Linked DNA regions of Macaca mulatta. Each later gene encodes a partner of the first gene's protein in a complex. Links are inferred from orthologs where the notes say so. Each region holds a gene or a part of one and is shown in the gene's direction. Other genes may lie near its edges. The genes, in order: CNNM3, PTP4A2 and PTP4A3.

What was found.
Region 2: the proteins of CNNM3 (region 1) and PTP4A2 are in contact, whole or in part, in a crystal structure (PDB 5K25), measured with the Homo sapiens proteins. The link is inferred for Macaca mulatta from reciprocal best matches to the Homo sapiens genes CNNM3 and PTP4A2. Residues at the interface, in NP_060093.3 of Homo sapiens: Leu390, His391, Phe392, Val393, Phe394, Asp396, Thr397, Glu405, Ala414, Gln417, Val419, Glu424, Gly425, Asp426, Pro427, Phe428, Tyr429; in NP_001356788.1 of Homo sapiens: Met1, Asn2, Arg3, Pro4, Asp69, Gly70, Cys101, Ala103, Leu105, Gly106, Arg107, Arg134, Arg135, Gly136, Ala137, Phe138, Asn139, Lys141, Gln142.
Region 3: the proteins of CNNM3 (region 1) and PTP4A3 are in contact, whole or in part, in a crystal structure (PDB 5TSR), measured with the Homo sapiens proteins. The link is inferred for Macaca mulatta from reciprocal best matches to the Homo sapiens genes CNNM3 and PTP4A3. Residues at the interface, in NP_060093.3 of Homo sapiens: Ser357, Asn358, Phe394, Asp396, Lys418, Val419, Asn421, Glu424, Gly425, Asp426, Pro427, Phe428, Tyr429; in NP_001425170.1 of Homo sapiens: Asn5, Pro7, Asp72, Gly73, Ala74, Val105, Ala106, Leu108, Gly109, Arg110, Arg137, Arg138, Gly139, Ala140, Ile141, Asn142, Lys144, Gln145.

Annotation. Positions count from the first base shown.
Region 1 is NC_133418.1:5,487,493-5,493,642, forward strand, and holds part of CNNM3 (metal transporter CNNM3), read left to right. Parts: intron 1-3,687; coding exon 3,688-3,903; intron 3,904-5,397; coding exon 5,398-5,547; intron 5,548-6,150. UniProt on the Homo sapiens protein: Probable metal transporter.
Region 2 is NC_133406.1:208,943,984-208,950,837, forward strand, and holds the start of PTP4A2 (protein tyrosine phosphatase type IVA 2), read left to right. Parts: upstream 1-2,513; 5' UTR 2,514-2,731; coding exon of another isoform or gene 2,732-2,755; intron 2,756-6,589; coding exon of another isoform or gene 6,590-6,695; intron 6,696-6,854.
Region 3 is NC_133413.1:151,764,852-151,771,749, forward strand, and holds the start of PTP4A3 (protein tyrosine phosphatase type IVA 3), read left to right. Parts: upstream 1-2,811; 5' UTR 2,812-2,885; coding exon 2,886-2,990; intron 2,991-5,701; coding exon 5,702-5,794; intron 5,795-6,898. UniProt on the Homo sapiens protein: Protein tyrosine phosphatase which stimulates progression from G1 into S phase during mitosis. Enhances cell proliferation, cell motility and invasive activity, and promotes cancer metastasis.

The DNA of each region.
Region 1 (6,150 bases):
AGGTCAGGAGATCGAGACCATCCTGGCTAACATGGTGAAACCCCGTCTCTACTAAAAAAAATACAAAAAAAAAAAAAAAAACTAGCCGGGTGAGGTGGCAGGCGCCTGTAGTCCCAGCTACTCGGGAGGCTGAGGCAAGAGAATGGCATGAACCCGGGAGGCGGAGCTTGCAGTGAGCTGAGATCTGGCCACTGCACTCCAGCCTGGGTGACAGAGCGAGACTCCATCTTAAAAAAAAAAAAAAAAGAACATTATTGTTACTATTATTATTATTATTATTTTGAGATGGAGTCTTGCTCTGTTGCCAGGCTGGAGTGCAGTGGCACAATCTCGGCTCACTGCAACCTCTGCTTCCTGGGTTCAAGTGATTCTCCTGCTTCAGCCTCCTGAGTAGCTGGGACTACAGGCGCACACCACCATGCCCAGCTAATTTTTTTGTGTTTTTAGTAGAGACAGAGTTTCACCATGTTGGCCAGGACAGTCTCTATCTCTTGACCTTGTGATCTGCCCACCTCGGCCTCCCAAAGTGCTGGGATTACAGGCGTGAGCCACCGCGCCTGGCCAAGAACGTTGTTATTATTATTTTTGAGACAGAGTCTTGCTCTGTCACCCGAGTTCGAGTGCAGTGATGTGATCGTGGCTCACTGTAGCCTCTGCCTCCTGGACTCAAGCAATCCTCCCACCTCAGCCTCCTGAGTAAGCTGGGGCCACAGGTGAGCACCACCATACCCAGCTAATTTTTAATTTTATGTAGTGATTGGGGTCTCCCTCTGTTGCCCAGGCTGGTCTCGAACTCCTGGCCTCAAGTGATCCTCCCAGCTCAGCCTCCCAAAGAGATGGGATTACAGGTGTGCGCCACCGTGCTCGGCCGCAGTCTCTGCTTTAAAGGAACCGAGCTCTGGTTTCCTGTCAGGAGCCAGATGATTGCCAGGATGCTGAAGAGTCTGAGCAGCTCCGACAGCGTGAGGAGCGTCAGCATGCTGCTTTTGTCTTTCTCACAGTATTCATTCATTCACCCAGGTGCTTTAGAAAACAGAAGAGAGAGGGTGGATGAACTTACGCTCCAGCTGTTATTAACATCATAGAAATTGGGCATTATGAAAGGGTACTTTGGCATTGAAATAATTGGGATACCCTGGAGCCTGCTAACTAAAATTACACTTGAAGCTTTTCCAGGACTTTCTGCTTGATGTTGGCAAGACACACTGTCACAGCTGCTCGTGGCCCCGTGGAGCTGGCCCACGGGCGGGCGTCGGTGTGCGTGGCCCCGTGGAGCTGGCGGGCGTCGGTGTGCGTGGCCCCGTGGAGCTGGCGGGTGTCGGTGTGCGTGGCCCCGTGGAGCTGGCCCGCGGGCGGGCGTCGGTGTGCGTGGCCCCGTGGAGCTGGCCCGCGGGCGGGCGTCGGTGTGCGTGGCCCCGTGGAGCTGGCCCGCGGGCGGGCGTCGGTGTGCGTGGCCCCGTGGAGCTGGCCCGCGGGCGGGCGTCGGTGTGCGTGGCCCCGTGGAGCTGGCCCGCGGGCGGGCGTCGGTGTGCGTGGCCCCGTGGAGCTGGCCCGCGGGCGGGCGTCGGTGTGCGTGGCCCCGTGGAGCTGGCCCGCGGGCGGGCGTCGGTGTGTGTGGCCCCGTGGAGCTGGCCTGCAGGCCGGCGTCGGTGTGAGTGGTTCCACTCTGGTGGCTCAGCACATGAGAGGTGACCTTGAGTCCCTCCAGCTGCCCTTGCTCTGTCCCCCTGCTGCCATCTTTGGCTGCCATCTAGACCCCCCAGACGTTCTTCTTGGGATTCAGTCACACAACCACTGTTCCGGGGGATCTTCCAGGGCCTGCTTTCTTCTGTTCGTGGTAGAGTCATCCCAGTGTGGCAGGAAATGGAGAGTTGTGTGCCTTGTTCTCGAGAAGTCTGAAAGCAAAGGAGTGAGTCCCTTTCTGCAGGAAACCTGTGACAGGGGCTGGCTTCCTGGGAGAAGGGAGTCGAGATGAGGCCTCTCTACGCTGAGGTGGCTGTTTAGATCCTGGGATTTGGTGCTGGAATCCGAGGCATTAACCAAAACCACAAGTCGCGCGTGGCCTTCCTGGCCTGGCCTGACAGGTTTGTACTCTGGCGGGGCAGCCGTGGCCCACGTAGAGACGGCACCCAGCACAAGCACCGAGGGTTAGAAGGTGTCTAGAAATGCGGTTCAGAGGGCTGAGTGGCCATCTCCAGGGGCCCTAGCCTTTCCTCCTAGAAAGCGGGGAGATGACTCGTGTGGCCATTTCCAGCTTTTTGTCCAGGGGAATGCAAGCATCCTGGAGAACTGTGCTTTTTTAAATCAAGCTCACGGGATGTAAAGTATGATCCACACAACGTGAACTTGACTTTTTGATTTCTCAAGAGAGTCTTGAAGCAGGTCCCCCTCACAGGCAGGTCCAGGCCAGTTTCCCTCAGTGTTTCCGTTAGTGACAAAGGAGGGCCTGGCTGGATGAATTGCTCCCATCCCCTGTGCTGGCCCTGTGCAGCGCAGGCCGGCAGCCCCCTCCACCTGGGGCTGTGGTACCTAAAGGTGGAGTCTGAGTTGAGATGTGCTGTGAGCATAAAACACACCAGATTCAGAGAGTGCAAAATAGACGAAATGTCTGTGTTTATTTTTTGGATTGATGACATGTTGAAATGCTGTTTTGACTATATTGGGTTACTTACAATATAAAACTTAATTTTGTGTGTTTGTTTTGACTTTTCTAACGCAGCCGTTCAGATTTTAAATTACTTAGGTGGCTTGCGTTCTGGTTTTTTCAGACGGGTCTAAAGTAGTGTGGATGAAAAGCACTTACCTGACACAGTAAATTCCTGAAGCCTCCCCAGCATTCCCCAACACTGTGAGACTTGGGCTTTTTTCCAAGTTTACATTCCCTCACTAAGCAGACAAACCAAACAGGAAGCTAACCTGAGAAAGAAAGACAGGGTAAGGCGGAAGATCAGCCTGGTGCTCCTCCTCCTGCACAGCTTGACTCCTGAGTGGTCAGCTGCCACGCGTCTCATCCCCTGGTTCACAGACCCTAATGGGCAGCTCTAAGAATTAGGAAAACGGAAAGATACACAGACACACACACGCACACACATACACACAGTCTATCTATCTTTCTATCTCTTTTTCGTTTCTATCATAAGGACAAGAAGGAGTTCACATTTACATAGGATGGACAGCATATATATTTACTGTAAAAAAAAAAAAAAAAAAAAAGAATTAGGAAAACCTCCCGAGGAGAGTCAGGCTGGGTGGCCTCACTCAGCCGCCCCGTGTGGACTGCCGCAGGAGAGCCTGCGTTTCCGGAGTCATGCCCTTGTTAGCCTGCATATGCAGGCTGGCTGCTGTGTGAGGCGCATGTGTTCTCGACTGGATGCTTGTCTGAACTGCATCCATGGCATGGAGGCGCACAGACCTGGAGCTGGATCCCAGCTCGGCCACCTCTGCCTGGGGGGCCTGTGCAGATGAGCAAGCATGAGCCCAGGGCTTCATTTTCAACCCGTGTGAAAATAAGGCCAGTCCTCATAGTCATGCTGGGCGTCTTAAGTAAAAACCTAGAAAAGAGTCTGGCTGTGCCTGACCCGCTGTAGGAACATGAACATTAGCCACGTCCTTTTGGTGGGCCCCGAGGGAGATGAATCAAAGTGCGGGGGCCCAGCAAGCTGTTCCATGAGTGTCCTCCGCCCGCAGGGAAGTCCCACCTGGCCATCGTGCAGAAGGTGAACAACGAGGGTGAGGGCGACCCCTTCTACGAGGTCCTGGGCCTGGTCACCCTGGAGGACGTGATCGAGGAGATCATCAGGTCCGAGATCCTGGACGAGTCTGAAGACTACCGTGAGTCCAGACTCTTGGCAGTTACGTCTCCGCTGGGCCCGCGCACTTCCCCAGGTGTATGTTGCGTCCGAGGTCAGTGGGCCTCTGTGCTGCTGAAACCCAGCAAGATCCACAGCCAGGCCCCTTCTCAGCCCTGCCTGGGCGCTGGCAGGGAGCCGCCTTGCAGGAGGGCTCGCCTGGGGCTCCGTTAGCAGCAGTCCTGTTAGATTCCTCCATTACTGAGAGAGCTCTGCCCTTCATGGGCCTTTCCCAGCCTTCTGTCTCCCGAGGTGCTTTTGTTTTTGCAGGTTCTTTTGTACATTACAGAAATGTCCTCTGAAAGAACCCATTCTTTGCCATGAAGAAAGTCTTCCCGGCTGGACGCAGTGGCTCACGCCTGTAATCCCAGCTCTTTGGGAGGCCGAGGCGGGCAGATCACGAGGTTGGGAGTTCAAGACCAGCCTGGCCAATATGGTGAAACTCTGTCTCTACTAAAAATACAAACATTAGCTGGGCGTGGTGGCGTATGCCTGTAGTCCCAGATACTCAGGAGGCTGAGGCAGAAGAATCGCTTGAACCCAGGAGGCAGAGGTTGCAGTGAGTCGAGATCATGCCACTGTACTCCAGGCTGAGACACTGGGAGGGGGTGGAAATAAGTCTTCCCAAAGCAGCTGATCCCGGGCCCTTGATTTCGTGGTAAAAGTGTCTGCCTGTTAGGTTGGTGGCTGAGGTCTGCAGAGCTGCACAGAGCCTGCGCTTCATGGCCGGGCCCCCTGTCCCGCATGCTTCCAGAAATACTGCTTTACTCGTGTCAGTTTTCAAACATAGCATTTCTGGTTCCATTCCTGAGACTGCCACAGGCCTGGGGTCTCCAGGTTAATTGCGGCCCTTTTGCACTGGTCATCCTTGAATACATGCTTTCTAGTGAGAAGTTTCTCAGTGGCCAGAGAGGCCTGTTACTATTTTTTAATTTTTAATTTTTTTTTTTTTTTGAGATGGTCTTGCTCTGTCATCTAGGCTGGAGTGCAGTGGTGCAGTCATGGCTCACTGCAGCCTCAACTTCCCAGGCTCGAGCTTTCCTCCCACCGCAGCCTCCTGAGCAGTTGGGACTGCAGGCGCGTGCCACCACACCTGTCTAATTATTTTATTTTTTGTAAAGACACGGTCTCCCTGTTGCCAGGCTGGTGGTGAACTTCTGGCCTTAAGTGATCCTCCCGCCTCGGCCTCCTGAAGTGCTGGGGTTACAGGTGTGAATCACTACATCTGGCCTAAATTAAAATAAAATTGAGTCCACGTCCAGTGACCTATCAGGGATGCCTGTTGTTTTATAAGAGCTGCTTTGTTATCATATCAGCGTTCTCTTCAGCCAGCTCCAAGGCAGGGAGCCACCCCTCGCTCTGTGTGGTTGGGGTGGGAGCAGGCCCCGTGGAGGGAGTGGTGCTGAAGACATGTCCCTGGGGCTCTGATGCTGCTCCGTCGAGGACCCCCTGGCCTCAGTAGGAAGGAGCAGGCGATGCAGTCCCTTGGTGTGGTGGTGTTGACTGACAGGTGGCTGATGCCTGAGCGCGCCCTCTTCTTCCATCTTAGGAGACACTGTGGTGAGGAGGAAGCCTGCTTCTCTGATGGCCCCTCTCAAGCGGAAGGAGGAGTTCTCCTTGTTCAAGGGGTCTGATGATGAATATAAAGTAAAAATCTCGCCTCAGCTGCTCTTGGCCACCCAGCGCTTCCTGTCCCGAGGTGAGGCGGGAAGGTGGTCCGCGCCCCCTGCTCTCCTCACCGTCCTGTGGGTCAGGAGGCCGCCCAGGGCCGACACTGACTCTGCTTCCCGCTCCTAGCAAGCGGCGCGTCTTGAGGACTTGTGTGTTCTCTGCAGCCCTGCCAGCATCCTGGGTCATGGGAGAGACAGCTCCTCTCTGCCAGACGACCAACAGCTAGGCCAGGCCAGCGCCACGCCTGGTGCCCCACAGCCAGGGGCCTCAGCTCTCAGCTGCGCGGGTGTGGGGTGCCCTGCCCAGTTCTTTTTTTTTTTTTAAAAAAAAAAAGACAGGGTCTCGCTCTGTCAGCCAGGCTGCAGTGCAGTGGCACGATCTTGGCTCACCGCAACCTCCGCCTCCCGGGTTCAAGCGATTCTCCTGCCTCAGCCTCCCAGGTAGCTGGGCTTACAGGCGTGCATCACCACGCCCGGCTCATTTTTGTATTTTTAGTAGAGGCGGGATTTTGCCATGTTGGTCAGGCTGGTCTCGAACTTCTGACCGCAGGTGATCCACCTGCCTCAGCCTCCCAAAGTGCTGGGATTGCAGGCGTGAACCACCGCACCTGGCCCCTGCCCAATTCTCTTGT
Region 2 (6,854 bases), on another chromosome or scaffold:
TGTCATTCACTTGGTCAAACAATCTACTAGATGAAAACAAACAAGCAAACAATCTGCTAGACTGCCCCAAATAGATCCATCTAAGCGGGGGAGAGTCTGAAAACAGGCAATTACAGTATTATGTTAAGTGCTATGGTAGAGGATTGCACAAGGTGTTTTGCAACTTTATCGGAAGAATCAATAACTCATAGACGCAGCAAAAGTTTTGCAGAGGAGGTAGCTCTTTGTTTCAAATCAGTCTGTGTTTCCAGGAAGTAGAAAATACTGCTTGCTGGAGGCAGACAGAATGCAAGTGAGCCCAGTCTGTGCTCCTCACCCAGGGGCCTTGCTACTGATCTGCAGCCCCTCTTGCTCCTCAAGGCCTCTCTCAACTCCCACACAGCCCTGCTAACCAGCTTTGCCCTAGAATACCCCCTCCTGGGCCACCTGCTGGTGGTGAACATCCTGGACTCTGCTCTGTGGCTTGATGCGGCTGAGTCATAAGACCTTTCATTTTACTGCTAAGCTCTAATGGAAGCCTTCTGGTCAGTAGCAATGCCCCAAGTCTACCTTGTGGGGAAGGTCTAATGATGACAGATTACTGCTTCTCCCCGCAGGGCTGGATGAGCATGGATGTGGTGGTGAGGTAGGGGAGAAACACCCACGGGGGCATCTTCATTTCTTCCTAGATAGGAGCCAGTTCTGGGCAGGCAAGACTTCCCAGGAGTGGACAGAAAGAACAGACCCTCCCCAACCCGCAATTCTCAGGGGGAGACATCTCCCTTCCTCCCAAGCCAGCCCCCAATGCCGCACTTTGCCTGTCATCTGGCCGTGGCCCAAACCAGCCTCCCAGCTCGCTAGTGACCACATTTTCCAAACCAAAACTCAGGACGCATGATCTGGCAAAGAATTTCTGGCTAGCTTCCAAATGCAAGAGGCAAAAACCTTTCCACTTGAGAATCTCTATGATAATCTGCGTCGTTAAAGGTGACATTAAGTCGGAAACCTTGAAATTCAGGGTCTCCTCTTTCTCAAGCGTTTTATTTTCCCTTTTTTTTTTTTTTTTTTTTTTTTTGAGATGGAGTCTGGCTCTGTCGCCCAGGTTGGAGTGCAGTGGCGTGACCTTTGCTCACTGCAACCTCCACCTCCTGGGTTCAAGCGATTCTCCTGCCTCAACCTCCCGAGTAGCTGGGATTACAGGCGCGCACCACTATGCCCGGCTAATTTTGTATTTTTGGTAGAGATAGGGTTCCACTATGTTGGCCAGGCTTGTCTCGAACTCCTGACCTAGTGATCCGCCCGCCTCGGCCTCCCAAAGTGCTGGGATTACAGGCATGAGCCACCGCGCCCGGCCTTTCTCAAGTGTTTTCATACGTTATTATCGATCGTGAAAGCGCCCATGAGGTTGCTGATTATTATTTCTTTCTTTTTTTTTTTTTTGAGACGGAGTCTCGCTTTGTCGCCCAGGCTGGAGTGCAGTGGCCGGATCTCAGCTCACTGCAAGCTCCGCCTCGCGGGTTTACGCCATTCTCCTGCCTCAGCCTCCCGAGTAGCTGGGACTACAGGCGCCCACCACCTCGCCCGGCTAGTTTTTTGTATTTTTAGTAGAGACGGGGTTTCACCATATTAGCCAGGATGGTCTCGATCTCCTGACCTCGTGATCCGCCCGTCTCGGCCTCCCAAAGTGCTGGGATTACAGGCTTGAGCCACCGCGCCCGGCCTATTATTTCCACTTTATAGTTGATAATACTTGGAGAGAGGGAATCACTTGCCCAAGATCCTACATCCTGAAAGTCTGAATTTTGGCTTGTCAGGGACAGTTCTTAGAATGTGTGTGTGTCTTGTGGGCAGAGCCGGGGGTGGCGTATTAATATCCTCCACGAAGATGCACACGCTATTTATTTGGGGCCTCAGGAAGGGCAGCCAAGAACTGAGCTGCCCGGGTTCCCACTTCTGAGTTGGAAATCCCCAAGCACAGGACTTGGTGGCCACCCTGTCCCATCAGGATCTGACCCCAGGCCTGACGGCCTAGGAGCGAGAAAGAACCCTTCGACCTTGCGGGTCACACCTCGGCTGCAGGCCCTCGACCCAGCCCAGGTGCGGATGGGCGGGGCGCAGCGTGGGCGAACGACTCCCCAGGCCACGTTCTGCTTTTCCCTCCCCGGTCACATGGACTCGCCTTCCGTAGCCGGGAGTGCGGAGCAGAACGAACCACCAGGAGGAGGAGCGGGGGAGGTGCCCAGGGCAGTGGGTCAGAGCCCCGCGGGGCAGGTGGGCGGGCCCAACCGCCCGCGAGCCGGCCGGCCAGCCAGTCAGCGAACGCGGAGGGCGGGTCAGCTGCCCATTGAGCCGCGCCCCGCAGCGCCCCCTGAGGGGCGGCGGCGGGAGCTGGTTCCGGCTGCGCGCGCAGCGGTGGTGGCGGCGGCGCGATCGGCCGGGCTGTAACCGTCGTCCGTCCGGGAGTGGCTGGAGCGGCAGCGGCGGCCGGGCACGGCGCGAGGCGACGCCACAGGGCAGCGGCGGCAGCGGGGGCAGCGGCGGCAGCAGGAGACGCAGCGGCGACCGCAGCAGCAGCAGCAAGACGGACTCGTGGAGACGCGCCGCCGCCGCCGCCGCCGGGCCGGGCCGGGTGTCGCGCGCCGAGGCTGGGGGGGAGTCGTCGCCGCCGCCGCCACCGCTACCGCCGCCGCCGCCGCCGCCGAGGTGACTGAGGAGAGAGGCGCCTCCTCGCTCCCGCCGCCGCCGGACTTCAATGCCCAGTCCCCAGCTCGCCAGCGTGAGTGCGCCCCTCCCGGGCGGCCCCCGCGCCGGCGCCGGGGGCCTCGGGGAAGGGGAGGGCGGGAGGCGCTGCAGCCATTAGTACAGGCCGGAGACACGTCCCCGGAAGGAGGGCCGGGCCGGGCCGGGGCGGGGGAGCGAGGGTGGGTGAGCGAGGGGCGGGCTCGTGTGTGTGGAAGGGGGAGAGCTGTGCGAGCGTGGGGGAGAGTGTGAGTTGGTGAAGGGAGGGCGTGTGAGTGGGGGACAGGGCTAAGTGTGCGAGGAGGTGGGGGGAGTGGGAGCGGGTCGGGGGACAGTGTCGATGTTGGGGGAGTGTGGGTGCAGGCGAGGGAGGGTATGGGTGTGCGGGGAGCGTGTGGGCATGAGGGGTGGGGGTACATGAGTGAGAAGTGGGGGAGGAGAGAGTTGAGAGTGTGGTAGAGAGCGAGTGTAGGGGGAGAACATGGTGTGTGTCGGTGAGAAGGTGCGTGGCAGAGGCGGGAGTGTGGCAGGGTGTGCCGGCGTGTGTCCAGTGTGTGAGCAGGCATCCTGGAGGCCCTTCCTCTTCGTCTTTGTGTGTGGCGATAGTGAACCGTGGTGTGTTGGGTTAGGGAGTTCTTTCCGGGAGCATCTTGTCCCTGGGTGCTCAGGTTCAAGTATGAGGAAAGGGGGTATAAGTCTCTTCTAGTGGCACTATGATCTTCTGGCTCTGGGATTTTAATTTTTTTCCCCCCCAGAAAAGATGTGATGTGTTTTTTTTGTTGTTGTTCTATACGTTTTTTTTCTCCCACGTTTCATAACTTCAAAGTAAATTTTCAAATTAGTCAAGGATGCCATCCTATCCTAGTCTGGGTCCCTGAGAGCTAACGAAAAGAAGTGTGTCTGTTGCCCAAGAGCCTACACTCTGGCCTGTAGAGTGTTCAGGAGCATAAACTTTTGTAAAGTACTGCTAGTTTTTCAGGTGAAGAGTATTTTATTGTTAGGTAAATTAAACTATAGGCTAGTTTATTATTTCCTGGAATTTGTCAAGAAATTAGCAGTGACCCGCAGTTCTAGTGTCACTGTAGGCATTCAGCAAATGTTTGTCTGGAGTCACCAAACTACAACCACTGCTGAGTTGGAATATGGTACTTGCTGTCATGCTCTGTAACAGAGTAGTTTCAGAGGGAAGTGAGTGAAGTTATGCCTTGCCGAATGTGCAAAAGGAAATTAAGGATGCAGAATGACACATTATCAGGGCTTCAGAATCACTTGCCAGCACACCATTGTATTGGTGAAGATGGTGAGAAGTTGTTTGCTGGTATTCTGATCTTGGCATTTTTAAGTTTCATAATGAATGGACTAATTATTGTCATGGACTTTTCCCATTCTTGAGTTGTAAAAGTAGGGATTCTTGATGAAGAGTAGTACCTCGATAGGGATTTTACACTTTGATATAATATTAAAAATGATGTTATCTTAAAAATAATTGTCTCTTAGAAGTTGGTAGTCTTTCAGTATAAGCAAAAAGTAGTATGGTCCTTTTGTTGTTGTTGTTTTTTTTTTGAGATGGAGTTTTGCTCTGTTGCCCAGGCTTCCCAGGTTCAAGTAATCTCCCGCCTCAGCCTCCCAAGTAGCTGAGAATACAAGTGTGCGCCACCACACCCAGCTAATTTTCATAGTTTTAGTAGAGACGGGGTTTCACCTTGTTGGCCAGGCTGGTCTCGAACTCCTGACCGCCACTGATTCACCTGCCTTGGCCTCCCAAAGTGCTGGGATTAACAGGCGCGAGGGTGGTCCTTTTGATCGTGAACATAATAGAATTACAGGCAAAATCATTGATGTGTAATTAAAAGTTAGAATTTATATTTTTCGGCTGGGCGTGGTGGCTCACGCCTGTAATCCTAGCACTTTGGGAGGCTGAGGCAGGAGGATCGATTGAGCCCAGGAGTTCAAGACCAGCCTGGGCAACGTGGTGACTCCATTTCTACAGAAAATACAAAAGTTAGGCATGGTAGTATGTGCCTGTAGTTCCAGCTATCCTGGAGGCTGAGGCGAGAGGAACTTGTGATTTCAGGAAGTCAAGGCTGTAGTGAGCCAGTGAGACCCTCTCTCAAAAAAATAAGAAAGAAATAGTAAATAGTATTGTTACTATTCAGTGAGGGAAGGAATTAATTAGTGTTAATTGCCTACTGTGCTACAGGTGCTTTTTATATTCATTTAATTCTCACAACTACAAGAAAGGTGGTCTCTTCATTTGCATCCATTTGGCTTATTTTGAACCACTTCTGTTTGCCCGGCACTAGGGATACAGCGATGAGCTCCCATGGATTTACAGTGGTGAGAAGAAGAGATACAGAAACTTAAAAGGTTAAGTAACTTGTCCCAGGTCACACAGATAAGAAGAATTAGTGCTGGATTAAAAATCCAGGTCTTTGACTCCAAAGCTGTTGATTTTTCCAATACATCATACTGCTGTTTCAATAGCTCATCTTACATTGAGGTTTCTCATCCACATGATGACCTAGCAGCTTGTACTTAGGAGAGCTGTTGAAATAGAGAAGGCTGGAGGCAAGGGGATCATTTAGGAGATGCTGACTGGAGGCTCTTTGGGGCCTAAGCTAGGCTTTTATGTGGGAGGAGATGCTGCCTTGAAACTCTCTTCGGGCTCTGGGTGTGTGCTTTGAGACAGTTTTTATGAGGCATCTGGGATATGTCTGCGTGAGGGAAGTCTGATTAAAGAAATGCAGCAGCCTTTTATGTTTTATTTTTTGGAAAAAAGAGAATATACTTATTGGGGCCAAGAGTGAACTAGAGCTTAACCACTGTATGAAAGTTTCTCTGTTGAGCTGTGTGGGACACTTAAATCAGAAGAAGTGAGAATATACATGTTGAAAGCATTTTGTTAATTATAAATTGACTACAGATTTGAAGTATTATTGCCACTAAGGTCTTTCTACTAAGGCAACAGATTTTGTAGCTGGAAAAGGCTGGCGTTTTCGACACCTTTATAGATGAGAAATAGTTTCGAACTGCTGAACGGGGTATTTTCTGACTCAGAACAGCAAAAGTCAGGCCACTCCCTCTGTGAGTCAGTCAAGTAATATTTAATTTGAACAAACCAAATTTATAGGCAGAAACCATTTACAACATCATTGAACTTTGTAGCACTAGGAAGAGTAAATGTTTGAATACTTTTGTGTGTAGCTTTGAAAAAACATAGTATGAGAGCCCCATATATAGTTGACTTGAAAAAAAATTTCAAACAAGGTAAATTGGATTTATCTTTCTTAAGAATTAACTTTATTCATTTTGTCCGATAAAGGTAGTATTTCCTTATGCAGTAATTAAGGAACACTTTACAATTTTCAGACACAAAGTTGAAATTTAGTAGGGATTTATTTTACAGGATTTGAATATACTTTTTCCTTTTTGTTGTAATGTGGGGGTTGGTAACCAGTGAAGCCTAGAAAACTAATGAATTTACAAACAAGATGCAGAGGGAGCAGGTGCATACGTTTTTAGCTGTTGCTCTTGGTCTTGGAAGAATGAAGCTTAAGTTTTTCTGAAACTAAGTTTGGTTAATTTATTTGGGTGCTAGTCCATCAGCTGTATTTGTTGAATAGAAGATGGAATCTAGTTTTAACATGGTGGACTTAGTTATGTTTATTGAATAGGGTGATGGTAGAGATCTTGGGGTACTGGTAGAGTTCAGTATTAACACTTTTAGGGTTTAGGTTTCCACATTCCCTTCTTATGCCAAATCATGTATTGTCTCATTTAAAATTCAATAATCCTGTAAGTAGTATTCTGTTAGCTTTACAGATAAGGACATTTATTTATAGATTGATTGTTGTTGTTTTTTTTTTTTCAGAGTCTTACTCTGTTGCCCCGGCTGGAGTGCAGTGGTGCGACCTCAGCTCACTGCAGCCTTCACCTCCTAGGTTCAAGCGATTGTCCTGCTTCAGCTGGGATTATAGGTGTGTGCCACCATGCCTCGCTAATTTTTGTATTTTTAGTAGAGACAGTTTTGCTATGTTACCCAGGCTGGTCTTGAACCCCTGAGCTCAGGCGCGAGCTGCTCGCCTTGGCCTCCCAAAGTACCGGGATTTGATTATTAAATCCCAGGTTTTAGAATC
Region 3 (6,898 bases), on another chromosome or scaffold:
CTGTGGCTTCTCCAGCGCTTTTCCTCCTTTCTTTCTGTAAACATGAACTCGGCTCCCGCGCACAGGGACGTCCTGCCGTCCCAGGAGGGACCCAGGTGTTTGTGTGCTGTTAGCACGCGGTGGCTTCCCTCACCCACACTCAGAGCCTGTGCTCCCTCCAGCTGGGCAGGGTGGGGGCTGGCAGGACCAGGGGCAGGATCCTTGTCTCCACCTTTACCTCCTGCTAGAGGTCCCACCCCACCATCCGTTTTTTTTTTTTTTTTTTTTTTTGAGGCGGGGTTTTGCTCTTGTTGCCCAGGCTAGAGCGCAATGGCGCGATCTCGGCTCACTGCAACCTCTGCCTCCTGGGTTCAAGCGATTCTCCTGCCTCAGCCTCCCGAGTAGCTGGGATTACAGGCATGCACCACCACGCCTGGCTAATTTTTTTTATTTTTGTTTTTAGTAGAGATGGGGTTTCTCCGTGTTGGTCAGGCTGGTCTCGAACTCCCGACCTCAGGTCATCTGCCTGCCTCAGCCTCCCAAAGTGCTGGGATTACAGGCATGAGCCACTGCACCCACCATCTGTTTTAACCTTCCCAGAACCACGCAATGGACAGATCCTGAGGTGTGGCGCTTGCTCGGAGCCTGTGAGCACTGGCTGCCACCGAGGGTGTGGAGGGCAAGCAAGGAGGAGCCCACGGTCCCATGCAGCCACCCTCCGAGTCCAGGGACCCAGGCCTCAAGCCCTCCCTGCGCCTGGGCTGAGACTCCAAGGGCCCAGCCTGCCTGGTGGGCAGCTGGGAAGGGGGTGCTGGGGCTGGGGCAGGGGCACAGGTGAGAGGGGGTGGGTTGGGGAATGGAGAGCTCTGCTGGACAAGGGACCCTGAAGTGCCTTTCCTTGGGTGGTAGACAGTAGTGACAGGGCCGGGCTTGGGTTGAGTCTAGGGGGCTGGAGAGTCTGCTAACAGCTGGGTCACAGCCGGAGGGAGCTTGGGTCACTTGTGTGGCCCCTCGTTGTGCTAATGGGGTAACAAAGAGGCTGGCACCTTGTACAAGGTCTCCCAGCCTTTCCGTAGAGAGGGAAGGAGGCTGCGTGCTCCTGGAACCCCCTTGCCCGGGAGCTTTGGGGTTGTGAGACCCAGAGAGGGAGAGAGGCAGGCGTGGAGGTGCTTCAGGTTACTGTGGCCCACCTGCACCCTCCCTCTTCAGGGCCCTGTTACGGTGTGAAGCCACTCCTGGCCACCTGTGCTGTCACCACCTTGGCATGTGTGCCTGATGGCTGGCCTATTGGTGTGGTCTGTCCCCGCCTCCACAAGCTCCTGGAGGGGCAGAGCTGGCCTGTTTATCCCCTGAGCCTGGCTGAGCCCTGTGTGAGCAGCAGAGACACAGTGGCAGGGGGACACTGGTGGGCAGGGGGACACTGGTGGGCAGGGGGCTACTGACAGGCAGGAGACTCTGCAGAAAGCAAGAGGCAATTAGGGTGGCCCACGGCCGCTTGTGGGGCCAGGTCCCTCACCTCCCTGTACTGGCAGCACTGACTGAGTGCCTGGGCCCCGTTCCCTGAGGATGGGCCACCCAGAGAGACCTGGGCTCAGATGTTCGCAGTAGCCAAGAATCGGAAGAGGAGAGGGCAGCTGTCCTGGGGTGGGGTTTCCACAGATCACGGCAGGTGGGCAGGGGCCAGGCTCAGGCTTCTTAGGGGAACTCGGCCTGTGTCCCCACAGAGGGACCCATTGTCTGTGTGCTGGGTTCATCATGTCCTCGGGGGTGTGTATGTCCCTGAAATCCCTGTCCCCCTCTGTCCTCCGTCATGCCCTGCTGGCTGTGTGGTGGCTGCCCTATGGCCTTCAGGCGCTGGGTCAGTCCTGGCAGGAGCCGTGCTTCCTCGTGCTCCCACATAAGGAAACAGACCTAAGAGGGTCATTCACTCAGCATGGTCAGGAGGAGCGCTCTGGGAGAGGTGTTGCCTGTGACTGCGGGCTCAGGGCAGGCATGAACCCCTCGTGGGAGGTAGGGCCCACTGTGACCCCTTTCTATTCATTTTCTTCATCTGCGCCCCCAGATGCTGTGTGCTGCGGACCCACCTGGGGTTCATGGAGTGGGCCACGGGGCCCAGCCCTGAGCACTGCTGTACCCAGGCTCGCCGTGCCTGCTGCTGAGGAGTCCCCGCGCTGCTGGCTCTCACCATTGCCCTCGCCTGCCGATGGCCTCTGCTGCCCAGCCTGGGGCCAGCTCTACCGCCTGAGCCCCCTGCCCCCCTTCAGGACTCACCGTACCCCGATGGGGTAACGTGACAGAGGCCCCGCACGTCAGAGGCCGCTGTCCCCACGGCCGCTGCCCGTGACCCCTGGCCCAAGGCTGCTGGAGTTGGTTCAGTTCAAGTTCATTCTTCCTTTGGCCCTTGGGGGCTTGGGGCCCACCTCTGAGTGAAGGGGGCTGTCTGCCCAGCCACCGATGTGGAGAGGGCGCCCCCAGCGTGGGGTCCAGCTCTGGACACTGCTTGGCGGCCGGATTCTCTTTGGGCTTTTAAGTTTTCTTTGCTGAGCTTTTTTTGGTTGTTCTTTTTATTTTTTGCCTCTTTATGACTATCCAGCTGTGAGAGACAGGAGTTTGGAGTTGCCTGCTTTACTTTGGGCGGGGAGGGGGCTGTTTTTTCTCTTTTCTTTTTTAAGACTTGGGTTTTCTTTTTTAATTATCCAAACACTGGGCAGCTTCCTCCCCCACGCCTAAGTATTTGCACAATATTTGTGCGGGGTATGGGGGTGGGTTTTTAAATCTCGCTTTTCTTGGACAAGCACAGGGATCTTGTTCTCCTCATTTTTGGGGGGTACGTGGGGACTTCTCAGGACGTGTCCCCAGCCTTCTGTGCAGCCCCTTCTGCCCTGCCGGGCCTGTCAGGAGGCGCCATGGCTCGGATGAACCGCCCGGCCCCGGTGGAGGTGAGCTACAAACACATGCGCTTCCTCATCACCCACAACCCCACCAACGCCACGCTCAGCACCTTCATCGAGGTGAGTGGAGACGGAGCTGTGGCAGGCAGGGGGCCCAGGTATCTGGGAAGCCCGGCTGAGCTGCCTGAGGCCTCCCGAGAGGGGTCCCCAGCCCCCGCTGGCCAGACAGGGCTCACAGCCTTGAAGCAAAGCCCAGTCCCCGTTGCAGGATCCTGGAGGAGGGACATGGGGGTATCCTGGGGGTCGGGGGTGAGGGTGTTGGGGGATCAGCTGGGTCCCCTGGGAGGCCTGCAGGGGGCTGGCATGTGATAGGAGGGACTCCATGCCATGTGGATAGAGGCAGGGGGTGAGGCTGGGGGATACATGGGCCAGGTTCTGCGTGCTCAGCCGTGGCCTGGGCTGAGGCCCTCCCCAGCCCTTTGCTGTCCTTTTGACCTCTGTGCATAGGCTGAGCGGGCAGGAGGTGCCCTGGTATGAGAAGTGGCTGCTTAATGGGGAAACAGGCAGATGGGGGACAAGTATGCAGGGCAGCTCCATGGCTAGCCCAGGCTTCCACACGCTGCTGGGCTCTGGGTGAGACCTCAGGTTAGACGAGGCTGGACAGGGGGCTTCAGGGCCCAGATCTCTATATGAGGAGGGACTGAGCAAAGGTCAGCACTGGCCACAGGAGGGAGGGACCGCTGTGCCCTGGAGAGCCAGCAGAGATGCCTGCCACTGGCAACCCTGGCAGATGGGACCAGATGCATTTACAGAAGCTATCTTGGGAGTGGAGTCTGGAGAGACCTGTGTGGCCTCCTAGAGGAGCCTGGTCTCTGCAGAGTGCCCTGCTGTTTGCAGGCCTGGGGCCATTTGCAGAGTCTGCAGCGGTGTGTGGGGCCGTTGACAGCCTCTGTCTGTGCCAGCTGTGTCAGAGGCTGCAGCTGTGTGCAGGGTCATTTATGACTGAGTCCTTTGCCCTGTGACATGAGATAAGCCATCATGGTCTTGTCATAATGAAACAGGGATTTGGGCATGAGAGGGTATTGAGAACTGTAGAGCAGCAGGATGCATTGGGCACCCTGCCATCAGGGAGCCTGGACCCTGGACACTGAGCCAGGTGCCCTACAGAAGATGGCTGTCCCTCTCACAGCTGAGACCCTTGAGATAACAGCAGGATGTACAAGAAAGATTGGGGAGAACATCATGATGAGTGGCCAGGGTCAGTCCTCAGAATATGACTGGGATCAGGGTTAAGCCTGTAACCAAGGTCAGGTCTCAGTGTGTGACCAAGGTTGGGACTCTGTGTGTCCAGGATCAGCACTCAGTATGTGACCAAGGTTGGGGCTCAGTGTTTGACCAGGATCAGTGCTCATGTGTGACCAGGGTCAGGGTTTGGTGTGTGTCTGGGATCAGGGCTCACTATGTGACCAGGATCGAGGCTCAGTGCGTGTCCAGGATCAGGGCTCAGTGTGTGACCAGGATTAGAGCTTAGTAGGTCAGCAGGGTTAGGGAGGGCTCAGCCTGTGACCAGGGTTAAGGCTTAGTCCAGGATCAGGGCTCAGTGTGTGACCAAGATCAAGGCTCAGTATGTGACCAGGATCAGGGCTCAGTATGTCACCAGGGTTGGGGCTCAGCATGTGACCAGGATGAAGGCTCACAGGTGTGTGACTGTCAAGGCTCAGGATGTGACCAGGATCAGGGCTCAGTGTGTGACCAGGATCAGGAAGGGCTCAACCTGTGACCAGGGCCAGGACTGAGTCCTGGGCTGGGTGGCCATTCCCTCTGCTGAGGGTGCAGAGGGCCTCTGAGGTACCCCACGGCCAGAGAGCCCAGCACCCCGCCTGCTCCCTGCATTCTCAGATAGTTGGGTACTGGCCTCTCTGTGTTCTAGGTACCCGTCCCGTGACCAGCAAGACCCAGCAGCTGATTCCTCACCCATCCCAAAATAGCTGTGAGAGCAGGTGGGGTGGGAACAGCCCTCACACGTGACCCCCGTGAAGTGGATCCCCCGCAGTGGGGGTATAAATATCGGCCTGGCTGTGAACTACCACGACCTTTTCCCTGGTCGTGTGGGGCTTCCCTGGTGGCGTGCAGGGCCCAGCTCCCTCCTGGCCGCCATCTGAGTGGTGCCCACCCTCCCTGCTCTGAGGTGCCCCAGCTGACGCCCGCCCCTCTTAGACCCCAAAGTCCCCCTGGACTGGACCCATCCCTGCGGCTCAGCTGGGGTCGCTGCTCAGATGCAGGGGCTCACATGTGGACTGGGGGGTCCAGTTCCTGCTGTGGGGACCCAGTAGCTTTTCTGGAAGAAATGTCCTTGCTGGTAGATGTGGGGTCCTGAGCACCCCAGAGGAGGGAGTGGTGTGCTGGGGAGCTGGGGTCCCAGCTGCCGGTGACCATGAATGTAGGTGGAGACACCTTTGCCTTTGCTGGGTGGCCCAAGGGACCTGGGACAGGCTCTTTCACACCCAGACACCACCTTGACCAGTCGCGGAGCCCGAAGTCCACTCTTGGTGGGCGTCACTGCATCAGGGTCTGCCTGGCTGGAGGGTGACATGCCCTTCCCTGGGGGCTTCAGGGACCATGCCCCTGCCCCAGGGGACTGAGGGGACAGGATTCCACCCCGAGAGGTCTGAGGGGACAGGGCTCCACCCTGAAGGGTCTGAAGGGACATGTCCAAGTCCTGGGTGATGGTGGGGGACACAGCTGTGCCCTGGGAGCCCTGGTGAGTGGGTCCTGCTCCCTGAGCACTGCAGCCCCAGCCCAGCCCTGCCTCCTCCGTCCTCCCCCCTCAGGACCTGAAGAAGTATGGGGCCACCACCGTGGTGCGCGTGTGTGAAGTGACCTATGACAAAACGCCGCTGGAGAAGGACGGCATCACAGTTGTGGTGAGGCACGCGTCACGGGGACCCTGGCCACGGGGACCCTCGTCGCTGCTGCCACCGTGGGAGGGTGGGGCGGGGGGCTCTGGGCCTGCACAGAGGGTTTGGTGCCCCTCCTGTGGCAGCCCTGGACATGTTTGTGCCGGGCCACGTGTGTGTCTGGGTACATCAAGGGAAGGCCAGGGTGTTGGGCCTTGTGACCTCAAGAAATTCACCCTTGTGTACCCCATCTTTCTGTCTCTAGATTGGGCCAGCTTGGCTCGCCAGGCAGGGGTGGCTGGCACATGCTTGGTGCATGGGCCAAGGTGGGGGTTGGGCTCCTCCGCCTGTCTCAGACCCTCCTCCCGTCCTGTCTTGGGTCCATCTCAGCCTCTGTCCAGGTGGCTGCGGCCCTGTTGCCAGGCAGCAGGTTCCTGGGGAGGACCCTTGGGCAGTTTCCTTGGCTCCTTTGGCCCTGGGGACCCAGGTCTGGGCAGGGTGTGGGGCGGTTCTGCTGCCGTATCCTTGGGGGATGGGCCACAGCAGCTGCAGGCCCAGAGCCGGCCCCAGGGCAGGGGGTCCACCCCCGGCCCGGTAGACGACTGCCCCCTGGTGCAGGCTCGCCCAGCTGCATCCGGGCCTGTCTCCTCAGTGCGGAGCTTGAGTGACCCCTCAGTCACTGCTTTTCATCCCAGGACTCTGCTTTTGGCTGTGGTTGCTGTTTCATAACCTCAGCTTGGCGGTTTGGAGTGGTGGCAGTGGTGGCGCTTTGGGGTCAGATAGGCCTTGGGCTGCGTCCCGCCTCTGCCCTCCCCAGCCTTGTGACACTGCAGGTCACTCCGAGCCTTGGGTTCCTCAGCTCAAAGCGGGGCTGCTTGGAAGAATGGGAGGTGAAGGCGTGTCCCCGCTTCTCGCGTGGGGTGCACCCACACCCTCCTTCCTCTTCCACAGCAGCGGGAGGGATTGGGGTCAGACGTAAGTAGCCGTGCAGACCACTTGTCTCTAGGAGTTGCCCTGCCTGGAGGCTGGGGAGGGGTGAGATGCCCCCAAAGGCTGCGTGTCTGCTCAGTGGGCCCAGCGGGCTCTCCCTGGCACCAGACAGCCTCAGGCCTGGCACAGTCCCGCGGCCCT